Oreochromis niloticus: one gene and its partners. The protein of the gene in region 1 purifies or fractionates together with the protein of each later gene. This does not show direct contact. Links are inferred from orthologs where the notes say so. Each region holds a gene or a part of one and is shown on either strand. Other genes may lie near its edges. The genes, in order: stk25b, fgfr1op2 and sike1.

Region 1 (10,591 bases):
TCCGCCTGTTTGTCCCCCGTTACCCGTGTGTGCTTCTTTTTTTTTTATCCAACTGTTTGCTAGCAGGAGCTAAAATGCCTCTTGATGCTGAAGGTTGCCGACGCCCAGTCTAAATGAATCTAAAGGCCGCTGTCGGCCGCTTCCTTGCCACAAGGGGTCGCCACACTAGGTAATGCTGCATGTTTGATTTGGCAGTCTTAAATTGGACGCCCTTCTTTTTGGACCCTAGTGACCTTTCAATTGTCAAGCAAATACGCTGACTACTACATTTTGTCTAAATTAATCTGAGATTGTATAAAAAGCAACAGTATGGCCTACCTCTCTGAAGGTGGGTGTTACCAAAGCAGACAAGCACTGTGACTTTGGTTGCCTTTTCACAGAATCTCCTGACTGTAAAGAGAAAACAGAGCGTAAGAAAGGAAAAAAAGATTTGACCTGGTGTTGCCGTCTCTCTGTCTGCCTTACCTCTGAATCTGTGTGCGTGTAGCCCTTCTGTAACTTGTTCATAGAGGTGGGCCTGACTGTGGGGAAGGTCCACATGGGACACTGATCTACGTCACCATCAGCATCCCTGAAAGAACAGGACAGAAAGAGGAAAAAGATTGAAAGGAAGAGTCAAACATACCCCTGAAACCCTGACAGAAACACCCTGATTGTTAATGCAAATAAGTGTGATGTTGTTGAGACTAACATGTCCGAGTCGTCAGAGCTGGACTCCTCCCCGTGTCCCTCTGATTTCCAGCGGCGGTAGCGGTCAATCAGCTCTGTCAAATAAGCTGTCTTCTTGGTGTAACGTGTGATAAACTTGTGTTTCAGAAGCTCTTTGGCTGTTGGCCTCTGTGCAGATAAGAAATTCAGTTCGATTCAATTCCATTTATACAGCGTCAAATCACAACAACTGTTGCCTCAAGGTGCTTTATATTGTAGTGAATAAAAACATGAGGAGCATAAAATCGTACAACCAAGGGTAATATCACACAGCCCATAGTTTTTTGAAGCTGGAGTGCTGTTGTCTACAAACACAGGCTAAAGCAAGCTTCAGTGTCAAATTACTCAGAAAGGTTTTGGCGCCTTTCAAGAGCACACGTTGGATCATGTTGGAATATTTGAGAAACAACCAGAACAATCTCTAATTCCTATTAAGGACCGGACATGCTAATCCAAAATACTTGGTAGGATAAAGAATTCATGTTCAATTTGTCTCAGTGCAGCAGTTATTACCAGATGTATGATGCTGATGTATGTTGGTGTTTTACTCACAAAACGGGGGTCTTTATTTAGACAAGCCTCTACAAATTCTTTAAAGGGTTTGCTGTAAGGGCCTTCCAATGTGGGTGGAGTGTTTTTGGGGATTAGGAAGAGGACTCTCATGGGGTGTAGATCAGAGTTGGGGGGTTCCCCTTTGGCCAACTCAATGGCGGTGATGCCCAGAGACCAGATATCAGCCTGGGAGGGTAAAGACATAAAGAGTTGTTTGAGGCATCAAAATTCAGTTCCTGTTGGTTAACATCAAAATGATCTCTCTTCATGCTCTCAGTGTAGACACAGCTTGTTCACAAACGTTTGCTCACCTTAAAGTCGTAGGCTGACTGCTTAATGACCTCTGGGGCCATCCAGAAAGGCGTGCCGACAAATGTGTTCCTCTTGATCTGAGTGTCTGTCAGCTGTCCCGCCACCCCAAAATCTGCTAGCTTCACATCACCCTGCTCTGACAAGAGCACATTGGCAGCTGGGAGAAAGGCAGAAAAGACAGACAGTTAAAATACAACCTAAAGTATCTGGGTCTGCTTTTTGTATCTGTTACAGCAGTCTGGTTAATATAACGTGCTAAAAATAAGATGAGGCCAGAACATCTGAGATAATGAGTAACAATGTTGTTACAGCTTATTCAGGCCAACTCTCAATTTTGAAATCTAAAATGAATTAATAATTAATTTTAGATTTTGGAGACTGGAGTGCTGCATTCAATTTCACAAGGAACTGTAGATAAAAGGAGAAAATCAGCACAAGAACACAAATAATACGGAGAATAAATCCACCCCACCAAGTAATACACCCAAGTTTTAAACTCCTTATTTGTGCGATTACTTAATTACAAAGTGTTACATTCTTTCATAACAAGGAAAGAAGAGAGCAGAAAAAGCTCCACACACAGGAATATGTAAAAGTGTATACAATTCGCACACGCAGCATGTTGTGAGATTTCGAGCTCACAGATGGTGTTAAAAATGTACACAGCTTGTTGGCATATTTCAGTGTGTGCACTTCTTCTCTGCAGCATCTGGTTAAGGCTGGCTGTGCAGCAGCTCTCTTATCACAGCGTTCAGTTGTTGACATAAAACGTTGGATCACAGCATTGAGTCTTGTACTCACAAGAGCGTACGCTATAAACCAGCTTTGAATTATACCCGAGTTTGTACCAGCGTAGAGCTTGACAACTGTGTTAGCTGACAGCTATGAGACTCTTTGGGTTTGTTCACACCTATAGTTTGTTTTCTCTGGTATAGTTGGTGAGTTTGTAAACTTGGAGTTCTTCCCTATGATTTGGTATCTTTTCACAAAGAGAAAAAAAAACAAAACACATCAGGATGTTCAGTCCGCTCACTGGACAGATGTGTAAATATAGAAAGAAGGTGCTGTGTTCTAGACTATTGGAGAATACGTAAAATTTACTTTCATTTCACGGATAGCTGCTAGCCCATACAGACCTTTGCACAACTCTAGTACTTTGCTGCATCCCTGACTACACAGCATACGTACCTACAGGAAGTTTTTTTTTAAAATCTCAAACTTGTAACCTGGTAGTTTGTTTGGGTCGACTACCAGGAACATATTCACATCATAAATAAACTATTCTTGAGTTCATTTAGAACTGCACCAAGACAACCTCTTCCAAAGGGTCTATGTGCGGCTGTTTTGGTCTGTGCCCGAGTGCAATAACTCGGTTCACATCTGCACAAACAAACTTCACCAAGGGATAAAATGAACCAGTTTGATTTAAAAGGACCGAACACCGTAAAGATTGAAGTGAGTGCTCATTACCTTTGATATCTCTGTGAATCTTCCTTTCAGAGTGCAGATACTCCAGCCCCTTTAGTATTTCCCTCAGTATAGTAGCAATGTAAGTTTCTTCAAGAGGCCCTGGACGCAGCTAGGATGGTGACAGTGCGACAAAAGGATGAGTTTTCCTTCTCGAGTATGAAAAGTGCACTATTGGAGGAGTTGTCTAAAACTTTGTAAGCTGCATAAAAATAGAAATCTACTTACTAGATCCAGAGCAGATCCTCCACCTAAATACTCCATGATAATCCACAGCTTTGTTCCCTATGGCAGGAGGAAACAATTGAAGGAACAAACCACTGCATGTGTTTGCATCTTTAATCATCTCTGCAAGTGTCACTTCAGTATTTACATTATCTCACCTTCAGATATGAGCCATAATACTTTGTAACGTAAGGACTGTCGCACTGGCTCAGCACCGTGATCTCCTGCTGAATGTCTTCTATCTCATCCTCTGCCTCCTCCAGGTCTATAATTTTAATGGCCACCACCTCCTTTGTGCGGTTGTTGATGCCTTTGTAGACCTCTCCAAACGAACCCTTGCCGATCCGCTCCTGCTTGGTGAAGTACTCCTCAGGGTCCAACCGAGTATTCTGGCCCAGTGAGAGCAAAAGGATTTAAGTACAGAGTATATACCACGGTGATAGCCCCCCGTAGTTTAATGTGTGTGTTTATGAGTGGGCGAGTCTCAACACAGAAGAGATGTTCACAGTTGTCCCTTATCTCCATATTATAGTGTTTGCATGCACTGCCCAAATATAAAATATGATTTATAATTAACCTTCTTATCTATGCCAGTGCCCATCTATTCAGTCACATCCCTTTATAATTACCTAGACTCTAGATCGAGCTTTGTGCCAGGATGTAATTTAAGAAGTGTGACTCCTGAAAGTTCAGTGGTTTTGTCTTTCCATAACAGCAGGAAATGAGCAATGATTTGCGAACAAAGACGCCTTCAAAGAAGTCACTAAGTTTAAAAAATATTGAGTATCTTAGTAATTAAGACTCAACTCTAAAAGCCCAACTCTGAAAAAATAAAATGTTATTACACACTCATACAAGATCAGAGATTATTATTACATATTTGTCATTTGTTGATGGCTTTGTCAGTTGTACACCTGACTGCGCCACCGGCAAGAACATTATATATACATAAATTCACATCTGTGGATACTAACACTTGCTTTTATGGCCTAGCCCACCACCCAGGTTATTCATGGAAAGCCTGAGAAGCATCGGGGGTTCGGCTTGTCTTGGATAAGAAGCAGGGAGGTGACAGTTGGAGAAAAGATCATTTCTCTACCTGGTTCTGCATGTCTCGAAGGTGTGCCATCCCCTCGGCTGGTTGGACGGGAGAGGGACGGCCACAGTCCTGTCTTCCAATAGTCAATAAATTGTCCTTTCGGGTTTTTCCTCCCCTCGTAGCTGTCTAGGAAGCTAGCTAGGCTGGCTAGCCAACTAGATAAACACCCAGTCTCCTGGCTTTAACGGGGCTGTCACTCCGCGCACTGTTTTCGGCCTCCGGGTAAAACGGAGGACTGAGCAGCCGAGCTACTGACCGAGAGACTCCATGAGTATCGGTGGTCCGAAACAGAGGGGAAAAATAGCTCTTTCCGTGAATTAATAATTAATTCATTTCAAGAAGCGCTTAGCCCGTTGTTCAATTGAAGCTTGAGGAGGACAAAATAATGGCCCAGATCGAGAACGCATGCGCGAAGTTTTTTTTTTAATTCGTTGAATTGTGGGAGTTGTATTTCTACATGCTTTAGAGACATGTTTCTTCAAACCTTTCAAGTTTTTCCTGTACTGAAAATGGTACACGGAAAAAATAAAATAAAATAAAACTACATTCACAATTTTAAATGACAAAAACACGTGATCTCGTTGAAAACAGTTCTAACAGATCTAACTATATATACATCACTACCATCACATAATACCATACATGCTGCCAGACAGCATTAGAACACCACTGAGGATTCATTACATACAAAAATAGAAAATGAACAAGTTCAATTCAATTTAAAGCTGAAATAAGTTTAAATTACATTTTGTGGAAATGATTGTGTGTGTTTTCTCCGTATGATTGATAGAAGAGGAACTGGGAATTCAAATTAAGGCAAATCAAATTAAGCAGATGCAGACAACTGGTGGTTGGATTTACCCAAAGTGTTATGTGGGAGTAAATCTTAGTGTTTGTCTCTGTGATGAAGCTATAATAGTATAAATTTGAGCACAGTGGATAGTGTGGACAAAGAGGATGTCAACACACATATTAACAAGACATTCAAACATCTTTTGAGTGTTTACATTTTATTTTGCTTTTATTTATTAATCAAAACTTTGTGCACAAGCTGTCATACATAGACATTATACCTAAAGACGTCATCCACAAACTGCTGATATCTACAATACAAAAGGTCCAGCTTCATTAAAATGCAATTTTCCTTTCCATCAGACTTTAAACCTGCACACGAAGTAAACCATCTAGCTACCAAAACACCCCAGCAACGACTGGCCGGTTGGTGCATTTTAACCCAGACACTGAAGCAATGTCCCGCATCTTAATCGGCCCTAGTGTGCCCCACACAAACAGATTTTTTTACCCCCCCACACTTTGTTGGGATGTGGTCAGCCTTCTTTTTTCCCGTGACGTTGGCTACTTTCATTTGAAAAACATCTTATTTTTGCAGTTCAGACAAATTAACTTCTGTCACTATAAAAATAAAATACACTACAACCAACTTACGTAAATAAAGCTCGTTAATCTGCTAATTTAAAGTGTCCATTGCGTTTCACCAACTCTTGCGGCTGGCGGTGCACTTCATAGTAACCGCCCCGGCGGTCACGCGGGGTAGTATTAACAGCTACACCCACACTAGCTAGAAGCGTAGAGAGCTTTCGCTGAGTCCGTCTCGGTGGGTGGTTTGTGGAGTCCCTGATGTTGTTTGTATGACAGCACGAACAGCGTGTTGGCGCATGTCAGTTTAAACCCTGGTGGTAAAACCATAACGGTGAGTATTGACAGGACAGACCTCTGGTTTACCAGCATGTTAGTGCAGACAGTCAGCGGCTTACAGCGCACTGTTTAATTAGCTAAAAGGGATAGCATCGTCTGTTAAACGATTGTCAAGCATAGCGACAAGCTAGATAGCTAACATACAAGCTAGACATGGCGTCTTGCGTGGATTTTCACTCAGTGACATTGAAGCGGCTTGCCAGCAACAGCTTCACCTCATGTCGCTGTTATGTAACATGAAATGCTATTTCTTGTACTGTACTCATTAGCTTGAACCTAAACTCACTACCTTACACTGGAGCAGATGCCTTTTGCACGGGCTAATGATCGTGTTTAAAGTTTAGGTAGCACCATTTGCTACTGAGCTAATTGGCTAAATTCAGGGTTAACTGCAGCATGTGTTTTACTGTAAATTGGCATGTCATAAAAAATCAGCCAAGATATGAAAAATGTCTTATTTAAAACGGGGCATTAAGTTGAGCTTATATTTCTGAACTCTTAGAGACAGTCACACTCACACCCTCACTTTGTTTGGTTAATATCTGTATGTGAGTTTCATTTGTTTCCCATTTTGTGGGTTATCAGCTGGATGAGTGGGGCAACTTTCACTACCCCCTCTGTAGAGGTGGCTGAGATGAATCGCATCCATTTTGAGCTGGAGTATACAGAGGGCATCAGCCAGCGCATGCGAATCCCAGAGACCCTCAAAGTGGCCCCAGAGAGCCAAACAGGGTCCATGCCACTTCAGCAGCCCTTGCCCACTCATACAGCTCTGATGCAGGTTCCTGAGAGGATCGTCGTTGCAGGTGAGGATGACAGTTGGCAGTCATGTTTCAGGTATTATGTTTAAATCATGTATATCAAGTATTTGGTGAGGAAAAAAAAAGTAGTACATTAAGGGAAACAACTGTTAACAGCTGAAAGTGGAAACCATGACATATGGGCCCATATGCTGTATAAAAATTTCATGACCCCTTTTTTTCTGTAGGTGATGACGAGGATCCTCGATTTGCATGTCCAAGAGACTTGGATCTGATTCAGTCCATCCCTCCTGCGGACCTCCTGAACATGAAGGCCCCTCCACGTGTCCTCACCCTTACCGAGCAGCCTCTGGACTCTCTTGAAACCGACCAAACTGTCAACTCACAGCGCAATCCCAGCCAAGCGGTATGGTTTCTTTCAGAGTAATTTCAACTTCCTTCTCAGAATATTGAATTTTCTTCTTTCATTATATTCAAAACTTTAAGTGGATCCATAGTGTGGTGGTATACTACATTTGCCTTATCCTGAAATTATGGTTCAGCAGTGTTAGTGCATTGGGAGTATGCTGGCACTCCGTTGGCCTGTCTACTTGCAGAGAGTGTCTGTTGTCGATAGAGGCACTGTACAAAGTATGTGGTACAACCGGTCTGTGGGGTACTTTTGCTTGTGCTGTTACTGGTATGTCAGCCAGCTGCAGAGTAGAGTGAAGTTATAATCTACAAAGAGCTGAAGTGAGTGTTAAACAATGTAACATATTCACTGCACCCACTGTCTGTACTTCTCATGAGCTATCTTTTGATCTGTGATTTTTTTTTTTTTTTTTTTTTTTTTCCCCTCTTACTATCCTCCCATTCCTGGTGAACTCCATTGCCACTCCCTTGCCTGTTCTGGCCCACTTGTCAGTCAATCAGCATTTGAGTAATGCAGTGGGGATTTTGGAAGATTGCACACATGTTTGTACATTGTTTCTAGGGTAGGGATGTTCCTGGCAACTAATTTCTCAGTTGAATAAACAAGGGAAAAAAATTAGACTAACTGACTCATATAAAACTAAGAAACACTCAGATATCAAGTTATATTTTAGAACTGTTTAAGGTCTATAACTCTCTAAACAAAAGAATTTTAAATCATAAATCATATTCTTGATTTATGAATAACGGTGCTGAATTGTACGGGCATTGTGCATTGTCAACATTGCATGTTACACACCAGACAATGAAGAAGGAAAAACACTTAAACTGATGTTAAATATAGTATATAAATGTGTTACTACAAAAGCAAGTTCACATATTATTAAATGTGACAAGTTAACAACAGAAAAACCAAGGAGTTGAACTGAAAAATGTGGTGCATTTTGTCGAGCATTATGAATGATGCACGCTGTTCAAAAATTCATGACAACCACTTCAGTAAAAGTTAAAATCTAAAATAACAAAACAACAAATAATCCAGCCATTTTCTTTTCCCCCGCTTATCTGAAGTAGGGTTGCGAGGCCAGCAGCCGAAGCAGGGAAGCCTAAACCTCCCTCTCTCCTCCAGTTTATCCAGGGAAACGTCCAGTTGTTCTCAGGTCAGGTGATTAAATATAGTCTGTACAGCAGGTCCTGGTTCTGCCCAGTGGCCTCCTCCCAGTAGGACATGACCAACAGAGCACCTTACCCAGGAGGCATCATCCTCAGCTGGATCCTTTTGATGTGAAGGAGCAGTGGCTCTACTCTGAGCCCCTCCCAAATGACTGAACTCCTCACTCTATTGCTAAGGAAGTGCCCACTGACCTTTTGGAGAGGGCACATTTCCACCGCTTGTATCTTTTGCCTTTAAAAGAACAGTAACAGTGTAAACAAAGAGATCAGGCCATGATGAACAGATTTACGGCTTTTCTCAACAATGATGCTCCCTCTGGTGGCAGGTGGCTGCATAGCAATTTACCGGCATTTGGCTTCAATCAAAATTTAAAACAATTTAGATTATACTACTAGTACGTCTGATAATGATTTGTGATAATAGTGAGGATTAGTTGTTTAGTCAAAGAGTCCCGCAAATCCCAACTTTAGAGAAATGCTAAATGCAAAAAGGACACGATTGCAGTACCATAAATTACCCCGTTTGAACCTGTGAGTAGACAACAGAGTCTCAAGGGTTTAGGCACCAGGATAAATCAGATACGCAGACCTACCTGCTGTGGCAACTCCTTATGAATAAGTGAGCAGCAACTAGTATACACAGCATTATTTTTACTTTATTAGGATTACCATTTCAGATATTCCTTGATGGTGGTCTTAAAGGTGTTGCTTTTTTTATCCCAACATATTGATCCTTTCTTACAAAAGCTGCCTGGAGTTGTGGGATTTATGAGACGCAATGAAAACTGAACATGATTATTTATGTTTTTAATTTTAAGAAGTCTCTTTGTGCAATGCTGCACATCTTCCCATTCTGATCTCTCTGTGGAGTATGGTTTGTGGTTCTTAACACACAATTGAAAAATAATCAATTTGTAAATGGTGAAAAGTAATTAATAATCGCACATTCTTCTGTAGGAAAAACTTCAATCAAGTGGCCAAAATCACTGATTTCTTTTTCCAGTCAGTTTGACTGAACTAAGTGGGATTCATCAATATAGAAAACACGTGTTGCTGCAAACCGAGCTTGATGTTATTTCAATTTTGTGTTTAACAACAGGCCAACTTTCATGGTCGGCCTCGAAGGGAGCGCAGCGCGAGTGAGAACGTATCCGGCCGTCACAGCAGTCAGATCAGCAGAGGCGATGTAAGGTATGAGCATAGCCACGTTTGAAACGCTGCTTCTTCACCGCTGCCTTTCCGATGCAATGCTTTCTTTCACTCTTGGTTGATTTATAAAACATGTCTTCTTTGTTTTAACGTTTCTCCCCACTTATCTCCCTGCCAGTGTAACCCCTTCCCCTTCTGCCCCCCCAGTCCGTTTGTGTCCTCCCCTCTGTTCCCCCGAGGATGTAAACATCAACCTGTTTACAGCTGCTGGGCTCCTGTCGTACATCCAGTCAACGACACGCCGTGCTTACCAGCAGGTCCTTGAAGTCCTTGATGACAGCCATCGCAGGTATGTGTTTTTTCTTTATTAATTTCTTTTTTGGCTGAATTAGTTACAAATCTTTGCATAAAGAAAGATGTGTTAATGTTTCTTATTAAAAGAAGTGACATTTAAAACTTGCATATGTCACAGTCCTGACTTGTGTACGTCCCCCTTTGTTTGATGTGTAACCTACATGTTTGGTGACTTTAGTTCACATGAAAGAAATCATGGATTATAAACAAATAAATAAATAAATAAATAGAATGCAATGACTTGAAAATCTCAAACATGTGTGTTTAAATGTTGAAACTTAGAATATGTACCATTATAGAAAAAACATTAGTGTGAATAATTCAGACCCCACACAGCGTTCTGATAGCTCTTTATAATTTTTATTTGTGCTACACGCAGAAGCAATCAGCTTTGGCGCCAACGTCCCAGCACGTTCAGCTTTTCACCTGACCTCTCACACGCGTCTCTCTCATTCTGGTCTCTGACGTCACTATAAAGAAGAGAAGACCTCATTAAATTAATAATCTTCACCTGTCCCTCCAGCCTCTCTTGCGCTCCCCCTTGAGCTCACTGCACCATCCCTTCCCTGCAGCTGAGCCAGGGGGACCACACCTCTGCCACAATTAGTTCATTTTGAATTTGATGGCAGCAACACATTTAAAAAAAACAGTTGAGACAGGGTCA
Region 2 (9,720 bases), on another chromosome or scaffold:
CTGTGTTTGTTGGATTCCAAACATAATGAAGTTGCACAGTGACCTCTGGTGGAGAAGTTATGCAACGTCACCATCTTTGATGAGTGTTTCTCTCATCTCCTCTTGAACTTTAATTTTTTTTTATATTTATCCATCCATCTTCATCCGCTTTATCCGAGGCCGGGTCGCGGGGGCAGCAGCCTAAGCAGAGAAGCCCAGACCTCCCTCTCCCCAGCCACCTCCTCCAGCTTATCCGGGGGAATACCAAGGCGTTCCCAGGCCAGCCGAGAGATATAATCTCTCCAGCGTGTCCTGGGTCTGCCCCGGGGCCTCCTCCCGGTGGGACATGCCCGGAACACCTCACCCAGGAGGCGCCCAGGAGGCATCCTTGTCAGATGCCCGAACCACCTCAACTGGCTCCTTTCGATGTGGAGGAGCAGCGGCTCTACTCTGAGCCCCTCCCGGATGGCCGAACTTCTCACCCTATCTCTAAGGGAGAGGCCAGCCACCCTTCGGAGGAAGCTCATTTCTGCCGCTTGTATCCGCGATCTCGTTCTTTCGGTCACTACCCACAGCTCGTGGCCATAGGTGAGGGTAGGGACGTAGATCGACCGGTAAATTGAGAGCTTCGCTTTTACACTCAGCTCCCTCTTCACCACGACGGACCGGTGCAGCGTCCGCATCACTGCAGCCGCAGCACCAATCCGTCTGTCGATCTCCGGCTCCCTTCTCCCATCACTCGCGAACAAGACCCCGAGATACTTGAACTCCTCCACTTGGGGCAGGAACTCATCCCCGACCCGGAGTGGGCACTCCACCCTTTTCCGGCTGAGAACCATGGCCTCAGATTTGGAGGTGCTGATCCTCATTCCCGCTGCTTCACACTCGGCTGCGAACCGCTCCAGTGCGAGCTGGAGGCCTTCACCTGATGAAGCCAACAGAACCACATCATCCGCAAAAAGCAGAGATGAGATTCTGAGGCCACCGAAGTGAAAGCCCTCCGCCACTTGGCTGCGCCTAGAAATCCTGTCCATAAAAATTATGAACAGAACCGGTGACAAAGGGCAGCCCTGGCGGAGCCCATCACCCACCGGGAACAAGTCCGACTTATTGCCGGCAATGCGAACCAAACTCTTGCAACGGTTGTACAGGGATCGAATGGCCCGTAGCAATGGGCCAGACACCCCATACTCCCGCAACACCTCCCACAGGACACCCCGAGGGACACGGTCGAATGCCTTCTCCAAGTCCACAAAACACATGTAGACTGGTTGGGCAAACTCCCATGCACCCTCAAGTATCCTTGAGAGGATAAAGAGCTGGTCCAGTGTTCCGCGACCAGGACGAAAACCGCATTGTTCCTCCTGTATCCGAGGTTCGACTAACGGACGAACTCTCCTTTCCAGCACCCTGGCGTAGACTTTCCCAGGGAGGCTGAGGAGTGTGATCCCCCTGTAGTTGGAACACACCCTCCGGTCTCCCCTCTTAAAGATGGGGACCACCACCCCGGTCTGCCAGTCCAGGGGTACTGCCCCTGATCTCCACGCAACATTGCAGAGGCGTGTCAACCAGGACAGCCCTACAACATCCAGAGCCTTCAGGAACTCGGGGCGGACCTCATCAACACCAGGGGCTCTGCCACCAAGGAGTTGTTTAACTACCTCAGTGACCTCGCCCCCGGAAATTGGCGGGTCACTTCCCTCATCCCCAGACTCTGCTTCCTCCTCGGAAGACGTGTCAATGGGATTAAGGAGGTCCTCAAAGTATTCCTTCCACCGCCTGACAATTTTCTCAGTCGACGCCAGCAGCGCTCCGCCAGCACTATACACAGTGCAGGTAGAGCACCGCTTTCCCCTCCTGAGACGCCTGACGGTTTGCCAGAATCTCTTCGAGGCAGTCCGAAAGTCTTTTTCCATGGCCTCTCCGAACTCCTCCCACACCCGAGTTTTTGCTTCAGCCACTGCCCGAGCCGCATTCCGCTTGGCCTGTCGATACCTGTCGGCTGCCTCCGGAGTCCCACAGGCTAACCAAGCCCGATAGGACTCCTTCTTCAGCTTGGTGGCTCCCTTCACCTCTGGTGTCCACCATTTGGTTCGGGGATTACCACCACGGCAGGCACCAACTACCTTGCGGCCGCAGCTCAATGCAGCAGCTTCGGCGATGGAGACGCTGAACATGGTCCATTCGGACTCAATGTCCCCAGTCTCCCTCGGAATGCTGTTGAAGCTCTGCCGGAGGTGTGCGTTGAAGATCTCGCGGACTGGGGCCTCTGCTAGACGTTCCCAGCACACCCTCACTACGCGTTTAGGTGCACCGGGTCTGTCCAGCGTCCTCCCCCGCCACCTGATCCAACTCACCACCAGGTGGTGATCAGTTGACAGCTCAGCCCCTCTCTTTACCCGAGTGTCCAGAACATATGGTCGCAGGTCTGGTGATACGATTACAAAATCGATCATCGACCTGCGGCCTAGAGCATCCTGGTGCCACGTGCACTTATGGACACTCTTATGTTCGAACAAGGTGTTCGTTATGGCCAAACTGTGATTTGCACAGAAGTCCAATAACAAAACACCGCTCGGATTCAGATCAGGGAGGCCGTTCCTCCCAATCACGCCCCTCCAGGTCTCGCTGTTGTTACCCACGTGAGCATTGAAGTCTCCCAGCAGGACAACAGAGTCTCCCGGTGGGGCACCTTATATTTATCAGCTGATATAAAGTGACATAAAAACGATGGTTAAAAATAATGTCATAGTAAAAACACACAAACCTTCTGTTGGGTTTGCTGGTTGATCCTTGTTGATAGCTGTCTGGATGTTACTGAAGGATGCAGGAGGTGCACATTGTTGCAGAACGCCGATAGCATTACAAAACTGATCAGCAAGCTGGACACACAAAACAAAACCAGTAATAGGTTACGCTGTTATTTGAACAAGACACTAGCTGCTGCTGCTGATAACATAAACTTCAGACAAAAGAAATTTAAAGACATTTCTTTCATCAGTTTTACCAAAGTATGTTTTTTTTTTTAAAATTATTATTATTATAAAATATAGATATTTAGTTTACCAGTGTCAACCATAAGGCCCGGAGACCAGAATCCAATTTTACCCACTGTAAAAATGTGAAGGCATGCTTAAGTTTTGGACTTTTAACTGTATTTTCATAAGTTTTACAGCTTCTCCTGAAGATAAAACCTCCCCCAAATAATGAAATGAGAGAAAGTTCATTTTTTAAACTATCTACTATAGAAATCTGTGCTTTTTACAATGGGGTCACATTACAAAATATATTATTACAGGACAGTCTACACAACAAGCCAAAAGAACTTTTTCTGTTATTTTAGTAAGTAAGTAAAATGTATTTATATAGCGCTTTTTAAAACAGGAAGTTTTTTCAAAGTGCTTCACATGGGAATAAAAGCATATCAATCGATACAATAAAACACTATAAATAGGGTATAGTAGCATATCCAGTAAAACAGTTTGCTACACATGAATATTACCTAAATGCCTGTCTAAACAGATGTGTTTTGAGCTGTTAAAAGTAGCTACAGAGTTGATGGTGCGTAGCGGGTGAGGTAAACTGTTCCATAATATTAGAGCCAAGGCTTGAAAAGCGCAATCCCCCTTCGTTTTCAAACGGGTCCATGGAATGGTTAGAAGACCACTATCAGTGGATCTAAGGATCCGGTTTGGAGAAGCTTAGTGATATAAGTGGGGGCCTCACTTGTAGGCACATGAATGTAAAAGTGAGGATTTTAAACTGATATCTATACTCAACCGGAAGCCAGTGCAAGGATTTTAACACAGGGGTGATATGGGAGAATTTATGACTGTGGGATAAAAGCCTTGCTGCGGCATTTTGGACCACTTGGAGGCGATTTAGGGAAGCCTTAGACAGACAAGAAAAGAGTGCGTTACAGTAATCTAAACGAGAGGAGATGAAGGCATGGACAAGCATCTCCAATTTTACACATTTATTTCCTACAATTTAAGCCCAACAAGTCACACTGACAAACTTTTCTTTATTGTGTAGAAAAACTATATTACAATGTCTCAGGGATTAAATGTGTAGTTAAAGTTCTGACTGTAAGTGACAGAAAGGGTAGTTTCACTGATTGGCCCAAAGTGCATAGTGTGTTGTATGTAGGCCACCAAGCAAAAGGAGAATGACATCCCTGGTCTAGAACCACCCTTAAATAATTATTATTATTATGTTTGTTTGTTTGTTTTGGAAAATGACAAATAGGTGCAGCACTTTATTGAAATGGGAAAAAATATGTGGAAATACAGTATGTAAGGCAAAAACAGACTTTGCAATATTCTAGCAAGCTGGTACAACATGAAGGATCAAAATCTGACCTACTTTTCTCCATTCGTAATTCCTTTAAGTTCAACTTCTGTTCAAGACCACTGAAATAAATAAGAAAATTTGGTCCCTTGCAAGCCAAATATAGAGAAATTACTTTTGCATGTTAAATACTTCTGAATATCAAATGTTGACCCTCTGGGGTTACTTTCCCACGTTAGTTTAGTATTTTTCTTTTCCAAATATATTTATTTTGTATTATTTTGTTCAAGGAAGCTAGCCAAAACGACGTTTTAACACTGTAACACTTCGTTGTTTAAAATAACTGAGCTGGTTTGGTCGTTTCGTAACACAGGCCTTTAACTATACTTGCTATAATGGTTAGCTACCCCGTGTTGTTCACATGTTACTAAACTACTCGAGCCACTGGTTTGCGTTAGCTACCAACTCTAATCGACATGACGATGCATTTTATATATTTTTTTACACCTCCTTCTACCAAAGAACGTTTAAGATATTCAACATTTGCCTTACCGAATTGACTGCGTCTTGAAGTTGTGTTAGCCGGTCCGCCATATTGTCTGTTTCTGACGTAACTGTCGCGAGAACATAAAACATCTCGCGGTATATTCGGTATTTTGGGAACCTTGGTTGGCAAAGGTTGGGTTACTTACTTTTACCGTCTCACAACTGGGTTCACAGCAAACTTGAAACGCGTTAAAAATCGATATTTTCATATCAGCGGAGGTTATCTTCTATTTTAACGAGGAACGGATCTTTATTAGACCCTGTTTGTGGCTGCTTTATGAGGACTAATGTTAGCCTTTAGCTAATATTAGCTACTAAACATCAACAGGAAGTAGCAGCGGAGTTAACGCAATTCCAATGTCTTGTACTGTGGCTTCCCCAGGTATGATCATTTTTGTTTCTTTAATTCATTATCTAAAATTGCATGGCAACACCGATTTGATATACGCACCCGTTTATAATGCGAGCATGTAAGTGGATTTGCATGAAAGCTTAACTCTGATTAGTAAGTTGGCTAATAAGTGAGCCCAGCTTGTGTGTGTATGTATGTATGTATGTATGTGTTGTTAAAATATATTTTACGTTGTCAGCTTACTGAATTTGGAAAACTGAGAAACTAATTCCCTTCACGTTTTATATAGCTGAGACGAATGTGCTTCAGAAGTAATTATGTAAAGTGAATCTGACGCCTAAAACACGCAAGGCTTGCTCGTAATAAGCGAATTAGCTGACACAGCAGCTGTAATGACGAGTAGGTCGAGGAGGAGAAAGCCTAGACACAATGTCAATGAATGATTTTTAGCTGGTATTTTGAAGTCAGAGCTGACGCTTCAGTTGAGGTTACTTCTTGGTTTTCAGATATTTTTAAAATTATATAATACCAATATCGTGGTGTTGTTGTTTGATCAAGCAAAATAGATCTAGATCAAGCATTTCTGATTTAAGTCGTGTTTAAAACATATTAAAGTGATTATCATATAGAAAAAGACAACTTTTATAGAAAAAGGCTGCTGTAACATATTGCTGCTTAACAGCAGCAATAGCTTGCAAAAAGCCACTGCATCATGGTATATACATAGGTTTTTTTAGGACTGTTCAGAGTTCCCAGAAAACTTTCACTTGACTGCAGCTGCTGTATGTACAGATACAAAGTCAGCCTACCTTTAAATAAAGAAGCTATTTTAATAAGATATAATTCAATAGTGTCAGTCATCACTATAATGAATAGCTTGCTAATGGATAATTGCTTTAACCAAATGTAATACTTAAGGGAAGAAAAGAAGGATTGACGAGGTGGATGACTACTATGTTTGCAAGCAACCTTGTCCTAGCTCCTCTTAAGAATCACTTGTATTTCCTCAGGCATGAACTGTACATTAGAGAAGGTCCTGGCAGATGCCAAATCATTAGTGGAAAGGCTTCGCAACCATGACAACGCTGCTGAGATGTTAATCGAACAGACGACACATCTCAACAAGCGAGTAGAGGCCATGAAACAGGTAGGGTGTCACATGAACTTGGGGAAATGTGAGGCCTAAAGCATTTGATGTAGAATCCATGAAGTTTATTTCAAAAGCTGGAATAACACTTTTTAAAAAGTATTTTTTAATTGTTATGATGATCTATCATTTTATATTTTAGACTGAAGGTTTTTCTGCTTGTTCTTTTTATTGATAGTACCAGGAGGAGATAGACGCCCTGAACGAGGTTGCACGGCATCGGCCTCGTTCCAGTCTAGTCCTGGGAATCCAGCAGGAAAACCGTCAAATTAGGGAGCTCCAGCAGGAAAACAAAGGTAGGCAGTTTCCTTTAATGTCAACTCTTCTGTTGAGAGATCGGATGGCCGGTGCATTTTTAGTTTTGCTTTGATTTGTGGAATATAAAGCCGGAATTTGATCCTTCCCGTAAATCAAACTTGTTCATACTTCATGTAGAGCTGCGTACATCATTGGAAGAACATCAGTCTGCCTTAGAGCTCATCATGACCAAATACAGGGAGCAGGTGTTCAGACTTCTCATGGCCAGTAAGAGGGACGACCCCGCCATCGTTACCCAGCTGAAGGAGCAGCACACTACGGTCAGTATCTGGTGCAAGTACTTTTAATGTATTATTTTGCTTTTTTTTTTAACTTTTCTTGTGCATTAAAAAAAATCTTTGCAGGAAATGCAAGCACACATAGACAAGATCAACGAAATGGCCTCCGTGATGAGGAAAGCCATAGAGGTGGATGAGGAGCGAATATGTGAAGATGAGGAGAGGATTAAACAGCTAGAGGTAAAAGCCGAGCAGCATTACTTCCAATTGTTCCAAAGCTTTCAGACCAGGGGAGGGTACAAAAAATCCACAGAAGTTACAAATCAACCCAAACAAATGTCTGTTCATGTGACACCGAGGATCACAAGTGTCAAAGAAATTGACACTTGACACAAAGGCCAATAAAAGTCATCAGTGGAAACCTAAATGATCAAGGCTCTGAGGGGTGGAGTCAAAACTGGATCACAAGTCATAGTTAAAAATGTTCATGTGCTCCGTTATTTATTTATTTATTTATTTTAACAGTATATTCAGTGTGAGTTTGGAGTTTAAAAATGAACTAAAGCTTCATGTTGAGTTGAGATGTCAAAGCAGATCTTAACAGGGCATTTAAATTAAAAATTAGCCTTTTTATTTACATTTCCTCCAAGCTTTATTTTTTTCCTTTGACCTACTTTGTCATTTAGACATCCTACCTCTCTATTTTCATTAGGTTAAACAGATATATTTGTAGGCTTTTTGACCTTTACCTCTACTACTTGAAATTATCCATAAATCCCATAAAAGTTAGATTTATGTTACTATTTAGCGAACTAGCATTGCTAGGTGGCTTTAGCTTTTGACAGTAAGAACCATTAGTAGTGTTTCCACATGTTAACCACCAGATGTCAACAGTGAGCTTTTGAACTCTTAACTGTTTCCAAAGAGTCGTCCTACTGTAACTGTTTGCTTTATATTTTTTGATTTAAAATAGTCCCCCGATCCTTGAAATGCCCAGGCAGAAACTCTGATTACTACTGTGATACTTTTGGCCCTTCATATTAACATGCTTGGAAACACAAAAGAAAAATCAAATTTCCACTCTGTAACATGTACTGTAAGTGATTAAAACCTCATAAACCCATATTTTATTCACAGTAGTGAATAAGTAGCATTTTAAGAAAAACAGTAGCTCATTTGGAACTTAATACTAGCAATAAAAAAAAAAAAATAAAAAAAAAAAAGTTGGGATGGGGTAAACAAAAAGGAATATTTTCGGTTAACTGGCATAAAGATTAATACTCAACATGATTGGGTATAAAAAGGCATTTTAAAGAGGCAGAGTTTCTCAGAAGTAAAGATGTGCTGAGGTTCATCAATCTGCAAAAAATTGCATCTGCAACTTGTGGAACAATTTCAGAATAACATTTGTCAACATATAATTCTGAAGACTTTGAATATCTAATTATCTTCAGCTTGATAAATTCAAAGGATTCTGAGAATTTGGAGAAATCTCTGTGCTCAATAAAATTTGGGTTTATGGGATTTGCAAATCATTCTGTTTTTGTTTGCATTAAACACAGCATTTACATTGTCTCCGTGTATTTCAGCTGGAGAACAATGGACTCCGAGAGCTGCTGGGAATCAGTCGGGAAGCTTTTCTGGTTCTGAAGAGAGACGACCAATCAGACAGCACGTCGCTGTCGCCACTGCTCACTAGTGCCGACGTGAGCTTACGAAAAAGTTAAAGCCCAGGACGGCCCACCAAACCCCCAGCCCCTTACTGCTGCCGCTGTAGGGTACAGAGTCTACAGCCTGTTACCACGTGACCGCTTCAGATGTTGAGTCTCCTGGTGCATTTAGAACATCGCTGCTCCAGACCTGCATCCCTGTCTGATGATTCGGGCAACAAGCAGCGAGCCACCCCCCCTCCCTTTGTTCTTTTTCTTGTTTCTTGGTACTGCTGTAACATTTTGTTCATTTTGGCAGCATGCACGAGCCCGCAGTGCCTGCAACATTTTAAGGTGTAAATGAGTAAACGAAGGGCTTGAGTTCAAATAAATCTGTAAACAAGAAAATTTGTTTGTAGAGTTTGTGTCAACTTCCAAATGTCACACGTTTCTTGTTCTGTTTTGGTTGCTCCTGCGGATACACAACTTCTCACTTTCACTATTCATGTCAGTAAAAGTGGTTTCTATTCCCACCAATATTGTCACCGGCGGGAATAGAAACCATATCCAGAGAGGATCTGCTCCAAAGGGTGAGGTGCATCTGCTGCTAGCTGTGGAATAGAAATTTTCAACACTGTCAAACCACAGTGTAGTTATACTCCACTGAAAGGCTTGTAAACAAGTGCTTCATTGTTTCACTATTGCACATTTATATCATTAGATTTATTAGTAATTTTATCCACTATTATACATGTTATTGGAAAGCAGTCAGTCTGTGCATTTCAGAGGATGGAAGAGAATATTTGTGGCATTATTGCATACAAAGTGAGATGACTGTCATAATAGTTGTTCATAAATTGGCTATTATTTTAGTCCAACTTGTGTTGGGGAATAGAATTTAGACAAGCTGAAAAGTAGAAGTACACTGCATCATATTTGGACTTGGGTGCAGTCTTTAAGTTATCTTTCCCCATATTTTTTTTACTGCAGACAACAAACCACACCAGAGGGGTGTTAGAAAGCATCTACCCATTCCATGGCTTATATTTGAATACTTAATTTAAATGTAAGTGCTGGTAAAGAGCAGCTCCAGTGCTGCTTTGTGCGCACATTAAATAGTGCCCGCCAGTATATATTAGTCTCCTGTTGTGATTTGTTATGGTCTGATGGACAGATCTAATTGAAGTGAGAAACGGCTAATGAGTTAAAGTCATCATTATT
Region 3 (10,115 bases), on another chromosome or scaffold:
GAGCGCACTCATACAGGAACGGATCTACAGAGATCTACACTAAAAAGATATTTAAAATAAATTATTGGCACAGACGGTCATGGGAATGATTTAAATACAGTGCTGCAATTTAAAAAAAAAAGAAAAAAAAAAGAAAAGAAAAGATGGAGAATCAGAAAATGCAAATGACAGGTCAAAGAGCAGTGCATCTACAGTGGACAGGAAGTTTGTGATGGATTATGAGTAATGGGGAAGAGGGAGGGGATCCCAGAGCAGCCTCTTGCTAGCCCCTGTCCTGCAACTATCACGACGAGCTCCTTATGACACAACACAAACGTACATGAATCCCCAAAGAGAATTAAGGGCTTTGGTCCAGTGCTGATGGATGAGTACTGTAAATACCAGCTACTTAAGATCAATTTTCAGTTTTCCTGAGGAACAAGTATCCACCTTTTCATGTGGTGCTGGACTTTGTGTGTAGTTATGTCGAAGTGCTAATATTGTCCATCTTGAGTCACTGCCCTCCCTTTTACGAATCCGAATCTTAATCGGGGAGGGTACAATGTTAAAAAACAAAACAAAAAAACAAACAAACAAACAAAAAAAAAACATTTAAAAAAATTAAAAAAAAAGTGCTCGTTTACATCAAATTTCGGTCGTCTAGTTGGCAGAACACCCCTCACCCTGCAAGAAAATAACTGAGTAGAGGCTAGTCTTGGGAGCCTGAAAAGATGAAAGAAGTTATGCCATTCACAGCAAAGATGCGGGGCAAGGTGGGTGGATGGGTGCTCGATGGGGTGGGGCACGTAGAAAGGTGGGAAGGTGAAACTTACGGATCGGCCATATGGCGACAGGCTGAGTCCGACAGGGGAGGTGCTGCTCAGGTCAGCGCTAACAAACGCGGTGGGTGGCGACGCAGGCAAGGTAAACTCAACAAAGCCTTTCCAGGGGCTGCCCATATTTTCCCATAAACTTGAACAAAACTTGCTTGAGCACTTGCTGAACTTTGATATACGTTTTTGTTTTTGCTTAGTGTTAAATACTATTCTTATGCAACCACCCAATGATACACCGCTGGATGTCTGCAAGGGTGAAGAGAGGAACAAACATAATAGGTAAGGCAGGTCAGCCAGTGTGCCAAGTGTCACAAACAAAAAGGAAAATAGCTGCAGGCTTTAATCCCAAGAGAGGATACAAAAGGGGGGAAAGGGGAAAAAAAAAAAAAAAAAAAAAAAAGTAGGGGGGGTATGGCCTGAGAACGACAGAATAGGAAGAGTGTGGATCAGGTAAGGGAAGGCAAGTAAATCATTTTCAAACAAAACTGAATGACTAGTTCAAGTATTTGGAGGTGGTGGTGGCTCAGTGTGCAGTGGTGCTGGCTTCTTTCACGTTTTCAGAATAGTTATCTTTAACAAAAGGACAATGTAGAGGTCACTAAGATCAAATCAAAATTTACATTTCAAATCAAAATTTTACACCAAGTATCACTTCCTGCACTCACTCCACCAAAAGGATGTGATGTCACATGGAGAAAGCAATAAGTATGCAAGATTCAAGTCTAACCAAGCACTGCAGTAGCTTGGAACTGGCTGCTGCAAACAACAGCTTAAAATATTGGCCTACAAGTAGAGAAATTTAAATGAGGTCCAATAAAAATAAATAATAAGTCCAACTTTGAAAAACAGAACGCATTTGTGTTTAGTGACTGAGGGGAAAAAAAGAAAGAAAAGAAATATAAATAAAACATCATCCTCGGCATACCACTGCACTGTTTTGGGGCAGTAAGTGTTATACAATCTGTTTTTAAAGCATGTGTGAATCATGTAGTGCATCTATCAAATGCAGATTCTGAATCAGATACCAGTTTTATAAAAATATTAAAATCCAAAAGAGGGTACTGATAATGCAGAGAGGTAATGATGAGCAAAACGTGTGGCAAAACCAGAAGTACATTTACAGCCATCATAAACACACTATGAAGGGCTTCAACTGACTCGAGACCTACCTTTATTGGTCGCCTTGTGTCTTTATCTCTCAGGATTTTGATGAACTAGCAGTTTTTGTGGACCTCTTCACGCACACAGTTGAACACGCACACTTGTTACAGTTTCTGGCACAAGTTCTAGATCGTTGCATAAAGTAAAAAATAAAAAAGGGGGGGTGGAGATAGAAATCTAGAGCAAAAATAAAACAAAAGGCAAAGGCAGGTGCAAAAAACACTGCTCAGGAAAAAGGAGGGGAAAAAAAGAGGGGGTAAGTTGGGGAAGGGAGCTATGGGAGTGGGGAAAAGGAAAAAAACAAAAACAAAACAAAAAACCAACAACAACAACTAGCAGATAGCAGCCCACTCCACACCCCGGTGGTGAGTCGGCGGTGTAGTGAGGATGAGGAGGGCTAGGAGCAGCGTTGGGACGTGTGCTTTGTCAAAGCTGTTGAGTAGGCACAAACTTCTGGTTTCAGATCAACTATGGTCTTCTCAGAATATGCTTGGGCGCAAGTTTGCTTCTCTTCCACTTCGCAGTTGGGATGATGTGCGTATTCTTTGGTCGTTTCAGGATTTGGTTACTTCTTGCGTTTAAATCCTTGAAGTGATCCTTTTTCACCAACGCTTCTTCAGTGTTGACTTTGTTTTGGGAGGTTTGTCTTCAGTTTCTTTGATTTGATCTGAACTTGAAGCAGTTGCGGATGGTACAAAAATTCAGTTCGGTTTCACTTCATACTGTTTGAAGGGGGATGAAGAAAAAAAAGAAGATCTGGTTAGATGAAAACTTATCACCAACTCCACTGATCTAAATTTAGGTTAAATACAAAATGGCCCAAGGGCTCCATGAGTCTGGAGTGAGGGAGAAAAATTAGACTGTCAGCTAATATGACTATTCTATCACACGAAAACAAGTAAAAACCCCAAGCACTGGCAGCCTGAGGTTTTTTGGGAACATTTGATTCTTTAGTCACACTCAAGTACAAAAATAAGCTTTCCTCAAATGCCTCTAGATACAATGCTAGGCAGCTGACAAGTACTGTGGATCAACAAGTCCTTGTGCATACCTTCAGTTCAGGCTATGTTATTTATGGCAACATTTCAGACTAAGGCCCTCTGTTTCATCATTCAGCCCCCCAGTTGTTCTGCATGCACACAACCTTACACATTTTTAGAGGGGCTAATCTGGCAATCAAACAAAGCATTGTAACGTGTGTATGACCTCTCCCCCCCCAAACATTTTTTTTCCAGAAACTCCAAGTAACATACAGCACACCAGAGCAGGATGTTGTTGACCTAAATACCCTGCTCTGAAAACAAGATAGCTGAGCCAACCAAGGACACATGATATCTATTCTGCTGTGACTATGTCGCAATGTCTCCCTTCTTACATCCCACTAGGTTAGAATATGAAGTTGTTAAAAGGCTCAAATGTGATTGCTACAAGGTTGACTACGTAAATGTATTAAAGGTTATGAGCCAGGAACCGAAGACAGCTTCTGTGGAATCCACTTTCGCCGGATTTTTTCTGCTTTTTATTTCGCAGGAAATGAGAAAAAAAAAAATCCACTCACGACACAACTAGCAGCGATTGGCCGTTTTAGCCATGGTTTTTTTTTGTTTGTTTGTTTGTTTATTTGTTGTAAAATTGGGACCAAACTACAGTTTGAGCTATTTGTTATTTAATAAACATGAGAGGGAAAGATACCTCTTATGATTGGACATTTATTAAACGACAGTCTTTTCTCTGGGCAAACAAAACAACCGCCCCGACAGGAACCACCATGTGACTTCTCAGCAATCCGCTATCCTCAGCTGGAACAGCCAACATGGCCTGATCCAACACGTTGCGGTATGCGACGCCATCGCGAACGGCACGTCTAACCAGTCGATGTCAAAACATACAATAAACTATAGTTCGTTAAAACCTCGTTACTTTAGTTCTTTTTTGCTCATTAAGCAAAGTAACCCGCACAATCACATTTAAGGATGTCTTATTGACCTTGTGTGGACAAACAAAACCTGACAGATTAACATTTCGCCGATGCTAATCGTCGTAAACAGCTACTACTCCGCTGTCTTTAGCAACACTTAAAGAAATTCTTCATCATTAACTTAACTAAAACGCATTCAGTTCTTTTGTAATTACCGGATGACTTAAATCCTGTGCAGCTTGGAGTCCTTGAACAGAAAGTTTGCTAATGGTAATTAAGCAACGGTTCAACGTTGTACACTGTACATAGAGATAGCATTTCGACTTCTCTTTCACATTAATGTTTAATGTGGTTTCGGACATCAGTCAAAATATATAGAATTTCTATGTATTAATTTAAATGGGACTGATTATAAAGAGATTTTTTTTTAAACTAGCAATCATATTATAAGGGAGACGTTTTTTAGAACTGGATCGTATCACACGCCAACCTGCAACACGGGCTATTTAGGCTAAACGGACAATAGAGTTAAGAACAGACAATGCCAAAAGTGACTGCCGACCAGGACAGTTCTTTAAAAAGTACTTATAATTATGTACATTTTAAATTTCTTGCCAGTCAAGAACAACGTTAAATATAAACACTCAGTTTATTCATTTTTTTTACGTCGATAACGCAATAATAACATTATCAGCGTTAACGGCACGAGGACGGAACAACAAAGAAGCTAGATACAAGCCTCGTGCTTAATTCTATTTAAATGCCATCTTTGTATCTAAAGTATACCATATCCATTTTACACACGTGCTTTTTCTTTACCAGACTCTAATACGTCTTAGAAAAAACATCACGCGCCTGTTTATTTATACCTTCGACAGTATAACTAGGCCATTGGCAATGCTAAGTAGCTAGTAGCGACTACGGTTAGCTAGCATGCCGTTGTACTCCTCGGCCCTTGTGTGATTTATGTGGAGCTGTAACAAGGCAGCCCCCACCCAGGCCCGAACTGTGCGTACGACTAAGCGCTGACTCACCAATTCACCTCTAAGTACTCACTGAACAAAAAAGAAAACTATTATTGATATATTACCAGTACACGCTTAAATTGTTCTGCTAAAAGGGATAAAATATTAAAAACTCACCCCAACAGCTTTCAGCACTGTCACCAGCGCCGCTAGAAGCAGCACGGCACATTGCGTAGAGATAGGGAGGCGGCTACCGCGATATTTGACGATACTAGGTAGACCAAAGATCCTAAAGCGAAGAGTGGCTACGAGAGGCGCTGATAAGAAACCGCCTATGTGCCGCAAAGGGACATGGGAGGCATTTGCGTTATAGTAACGTTAACATTTTATCTACCTCGCTGTCTAGACTGGAAAAAAGATATGTACGAGTAATCTAGTCGAGTTCAATAAATAATAAATCCATTAATTATTTGATTAATGAGTAAATAATAACTATCATGCCATTTAGTAGATAACTAAACTTAATAGGTGTCGCCATAACTAAGTTTTCTCCCCATACGGGAGGGTTTCTGAGACTACACGTTGCACAAAAACCCAACATAGGAAAATGTAACATAATGCTTCAGCTCAACTCAGCCCTTCACTCACTTTGAAATTACCCGATACTAATATTTTTTCAGCACTGTAAGTGTTTTACGTTACATTTTTACTTGAAATGCTGATAACTTTTAAAATTATGTTGTTGTTGTTGTTCATTTGTTTAACATACAACTGTTGAACAGTGAAGAAACAATATCCTTTTTTCTTTTCCTTTTTTTTAATGAGACGCTGTTGCGTTATGTAAAGATATTTTAAAGACCAATAGGCTTGATAGGTTTAGCCATTAACCCCGCTTTTGGTTGTGTGCCAAACTTCTACACCGCACTCTACCCCAGTAGGTGGCGACTCAACGTTAGTTTGACAATTCGCCAAAAGTAGGAGGAGAAGAAGAAGAAGAAGACGACGACGACGAAGAAGAAGAAGAAGAAGAAGGAAGTGTCGCTAACACTTTAGTTTTACACGGAAACGTCAGTTTCTGAAGCAGTAATATTCTAGTAATGTAGTAATATTTTGATCTGGGTGTCTGGTACTTGCACTGTCTGCCGACACAACATTAACGTTAAGTAGCGAAACAGTAAGGATATTTATGTTTCTATAATGGCACCGAGCTGCCTCGGCTAAGGTTATATAGCCCAGGTAAGCAACGGCTGTGAGTTGTTTTCGCTCTAGCTAGTTTTGTAGTAGCTTTTTTTACCTAACATAAAAAAGAGCTGTCACTTTCCAGTAAATGGCCTGCACTTTAGAAAAAGTGCTGGCCGATACTCGGACCCTTCTCGAGAGGCTAAAAGAGCACGACACAGCCGCCGAGGGACTGATAGAGCAGTCCGAGGCCCTAAATCAGAGAGTGCAGGGCATGAGAGAGGTGGGAAATGCTCTGCCAGACAAGGTAAACTCGAGCAGATAGCTCACGCTTATGAAAAGCTGCACTACTGCTTGGTATACACATTGAACTAGTTAAACAGTGACCTGTACTACAAAGCGAGTTTCCCTCGTATCTAGAATATGCTTTCGTGATATGCGTTCGCTAAAGTCTTCTTTATCTGTTTCTTCTCTGCTCTTTTCTCAGCACACAGATGACAGTTCAGAGATACAGGAGCTCACGAAATACAAACCTCATGTCCTTCTGACTCAGGAAAACACTCAAATCAAGGAACTGCAGCGGGAGAATAAAGGTAAAAAAAAGGTTCTGCTGACTGACTGGCTGGTTTTATATACTAGTATTAACACTCTTTATGCCTTTGTAGAACTATGGCTGTCTCTTGAAGAACACCAGTACGCATTGGAGTTGATCATGTGTCGGTATCGCAAGCATGTGCTCCAGTTGATGATGGCAAAGAAGGAGCTGGACACCAAACCTGTGCTCAGCCTCCATGAGGACCATGCCAAAGTACATCAACTCTGCATTTCTTTAATTTGCTCACACGTTTAATGGGCTATGATTCCAAATACATAGACACACAAATTAAAAAATAAAAAAATAAAAACAACAAACTTGATTTCTGACTCTTTTCCAGGAAGTGCAGAGCCAAGTGGAGCGGATATGCGAGATGGGCCAGGTGATGAGAAGAGCAGTGCAGGTGGATGATAAGCACTATTGCTGTGTTCGAGAGAGGCTTGCTCAGCTAGAGGTGAGAAATGCAGTTATACATGGACACAATGACACCTTTCCTCATGAGGTCTGTGGAAAAATATGTGATTTTACCACAGACCTCAGACATCAGCTTCTGTGTCAAAATGACGGAACGATAATAGATGATCATAACTGCAAATGAGAGCTGAGTTGTCAGCTAGCATCAAGTTTTTAGTGGGATGGTTAGGTTTAGTGCATCAGGTCAAGGAGCATGTTGTTTTGTTTGGGGTTTTATTAGGTTTGTTTTTTTATTACAGTCAAATAGGTTGTACAAGGGTTATAAAAGGGCCTTTTAAACCAGTCGGTTATATTTCTTACTGTAGCATCTTTGTGATAACCTTTTGTGAGCTCTCTAAATATGCTACAACTGTAAAGTTTGTTGAAAAGGTACATTTTCCCAAACAGTAACAAACGTGTATTTAAGAATATAAATGAATAAAAGCATTCAGAACAATAGCTATCTTCCCAGGAGTGGCTGTTCTAGCAAATTCAGCCACAGACTGTGTAATGCTCATGGAAATGGCTAAAAATCCAGGAGCTACAGCTCAGACTCTACAGGGCTACGTTAGCAAGTTAAATGAAAGGGGGGGAAAGCCTCTTCCCTTTAAAAAGAACAAGGCAGCATTGTTAGTTTTGCATAACTGCAAGGCATAAAGTTTGTCCTTTGGACAGACCAGACCAGTGTGGAAATGTTTGGCTGTAATACACAGCAGCTCATTCAGTGAAAACTGTCAAACACACTGGTGGAGCTGTGATAATTTAGGGCTTGTTTTGCACCTGAGTACCGTGAACTCTTTGAATCATCCAAAAATCCCTCTGCGTACCAAAGTATCCTAGAGTCAAATGTGAGGGAAGTCTGTCTGACGGCTAAAGCTTGGTTGAAACTGACTCATGAAGCAGGACAATGATCCCAAACACAGCAGCAAATCTGCAGCACAATGGCTGAAAAAGGAAATCACAGCTTTGTAATATTTCAGTCAAGGGCCAAACCTCAACTCAGCTGGAACACTCAGGTGGGATCGTAACGAATAATCGTGATCCTCAATGTGCTGAAGCAACATTTGATCAGACTTCCTCCATAATGATGGATGAATAAAGTTGTACACGGGTTTTTACACGATGCTTCTTTTTATTAAATAAATAATGACATGTTTTATTGTTCATCTGGGGCTGTATTTAAATAATTTTTGTACCTGCTACGGAACTGATGATTTTTTTTTTTCTTATTAAGTCTTATTGATAAAACCTGAGAAATAAAAGAGGGTGTACTTTCTTTTTCACGTGTCTGTATTTGCTTTGGTTATCTGCTTCACCCAACATTGCCAAAGTGCAAAAAATTCTATCACAAATAAACAGAAACACTATTTAAAAGAGAAGATGTGATGCATCCATCACAATTTTCATTCAAAACCTGTATGCACGGGGAAGCACATGCATGTTATAAGGAAGAGATATTTAACTATAAAAGTTATGTTTGAACATTTTTTTTCTACCTTCAGATTGAGAACAAGGAGCTGCGTGATCTCCTGGAAATCAGCAAGAGCTCTGTGAAGACAACTAGCCAGTCACTAGCAGCAGAAGAAGGAGAAGAGTCTCCTCTGCCGGGGTCCACCGAGTGACCTGAAGTACAGCTGGGATAAAGTTCCACAGAACCAGGAGAGGGGGCTGATTGTGTCTTCACCTGTGTTCACCACCACATTATAGATATTGTTATTTTAATTTTATTTTTTTACATGTAACGAAATGCAGTCCAGCATGAGGTTATCACTCACAATACACATGTACTGCAGCAAAGGCAGTAAAAGCAAAGGGGATTTCTTTAGTTTTTAGCCAAAGACACTTTTATTCTCCAAGGATACAGTTTCTACCTCTTTGGTGCCCCTTTGCTGTTCACACACACAAACTTTTACAGTGAGTAAAGCACCCAAAACCAGCCCAACCTTTGAGTTCACTTGAAATCTATTAACAAGCCAACTTGTAGTCCACACCATATAAGAAGCTGTGCTTGCTGCCAATAAGATAACTTTTGGCTGTTTTAAACTTTGCCTGCTGAGGAGTAGCAGTGGAACCTTTGTTGTTGTGATGTTTTGGGTTTGATATGGTTGATTGTCTCAATATAAAACATGGTTTTCATGTTTTGGTACCTTAATTCTGTGTGTTAGACACAAGTTGTACAGTTTGCCGATTCAGAGTATTGCGTACCAGCTAATGGCACATCTTTGTTAGTGAGAACACTTTCAAACATGCCAGGGTTTTTTTGTGTAATGGATACCATGTTTGTACACTGTATGTTGTCAGAAACTGTATTTTGTCGTCTTAGGAAATCATGTTAGATGACTTCACGACAGTGTACTGATTTGTGTCAAATTAAACTCAGAAAGTTTGCTATACATAAAAGCGTGCCTGGTTTTGTTTTCTTGTTTCCAAACTTTTTTACTGTACAGCTTGCTGGATGTATGGACGAAAGTGACTTGTTTGGGATAATCCTTTCTTTACCGCAAGCTGGCGCCATTCAGTTGTTGGGGTATAACCTATCGCGAGGTTTGCAAGAGTTTCAATGCTGCTTTCAAAGAAAAGACGTTACGGGATTTTCTTTAGTTTTTTAAATGTTTCCTCCTTAACATAAGTTCTGTCAATACACCAAGGCGGTAAAGGGTGAATGTTTAAACTAATTACTTGTAAAATCATAAAAATTTTCAGTGCAGTCTTTTATTCTTCTGCGTTTAAATCGTAACCCTAGGGATATATTTCCGACAACACGTGAAAGCATCACGCAGAGGTGCATTTGCTACTTCTAGCCTGTCACAAGCTAATGTTCAGTATGTCTGAGAAGGAGCTGGGGAAAAAGTGGGACCGATGCTTAGCAGACGGTGCCATTAAATTAGGTAAATATGCTTCGGTTTCTCAATCGTAACGATATTGTCCTGTATCAAAACAAGGGTCACTTAAGAAGCAGTTTATATTGAAGTCCACAGCTGTCATTGACTGGGCGAGAGGCTAACTAGCTAGCCATAAGGGCTTGTAAA

What was found.
Region 2: the proteins of stk25b (region 1) and fgfr1op2 purify together in Homo sapiens (affinity purification with mass spectrometry; 5 studies listed by BioGRID and IntAct, with this or other methods). This does not show direct contact. The link is inferred for Oreochromis niloticus from reciprocal best matches to the Homo sapiens genes STK25 and FGFR1OP2.
Region 3: the proteins of stk25b (region 1) and sike1 purify together in Homo sapiens (affinity purification with mass spectrometry; 4 studies listed by BioGRID and IntAct, with this or other methods). This does not show direct contact. The link is inferred for Oreochromis niloticus from reciprocal best matches to the Homo sapiens genes STK25 and SIKE1.

What each region holds. Positions count from the first base shown.
Region 1 is NC_031982.2:10,566,450-10,577,040, reverse strand, and holds the start of stk25b (serine/threonine-protein kinase 25), read right to left. Parts: upstream 4,772-10,591; 5' UTR 4,394-4,771; coding exon 4,364-4,393; intron 3,654-4,363; coding exon 3,423-3,653; intron 3,325-3,422; coding exon 3,268-3,324; intron 3,152-3,267; coding exon 3,043-3,151; intron 1,730-3,042; coding exon 1,572-1,729; intron 1,447-1,571; coding exon 1,261-1,446; intron 838-1,260; coding exon 692-837; intron 572-691; coding exon 466-571; intron 391-465; coding exon 319-390; intron 1-318. Other genes in the region: mitochondrial fission factor homolog A, read left to right, coding at 6,669-6,885, 7,068-7,246, 9,524-9,615, 9,752-9,922. UniProt on the Homo sapiens protein: Oxidant stress-activated serine/threonine kinase that may play a role in the response to environmental stress.
Region 2 is NC_031981.2:34,715,848-34,725,567, reverse strand, and holds fgfr1op2 (FGFR1 oncogene partner 2 homolog), read left to right. Parts: upstream 1-5,058; 5' UTR 5,059-5,172; coding exon 5,173-5,197; intron 5,198-6,177; coding exon 6,178-6,314; intron 6,315-6,492; coding exon 6,493-6,610; intron 6,611-6,749; coding exon 6,750-6,892; intron 6,893-6,976; coding exon 6,977-7,090; intron 7,091-8,439; coding exon 8,440-8,577; 3' UTR 8,578-8,907; downstream 8,908-9,720. Other genes in the region: med21 (mediator of RNA polymerase II transcription subunit 21), read right to left, coding at 2,747-2,861, 4,822-4,905. UniProt on the Homo sapiens protein: May be involved in wound healing pathway.
Region 3 is NC_031984.2:27,969,945-27,980,059, reverse strand, and holds sike1 (suppressor of IKBKE 1), read left to right. Parts: upstream 1-5,846; 5' UTR 5,847-6,095; intron 6,096-6,167; exon of another isoform or gene 6,168-6,183; 5' UTR 6,184-6,186; coding exon 6,187-6,345; intron 6,346-6,525; coding exon 6,526-6,631; intron 6,632-6,703; coding exon 6,704-6,846; intron 6,847-6,973; coding exon 6,974-7,087; intron 7,088-8,588; coding exon 8,589-8,708; 3' UTR 8,709-9,477; downstream 9,478-10,115.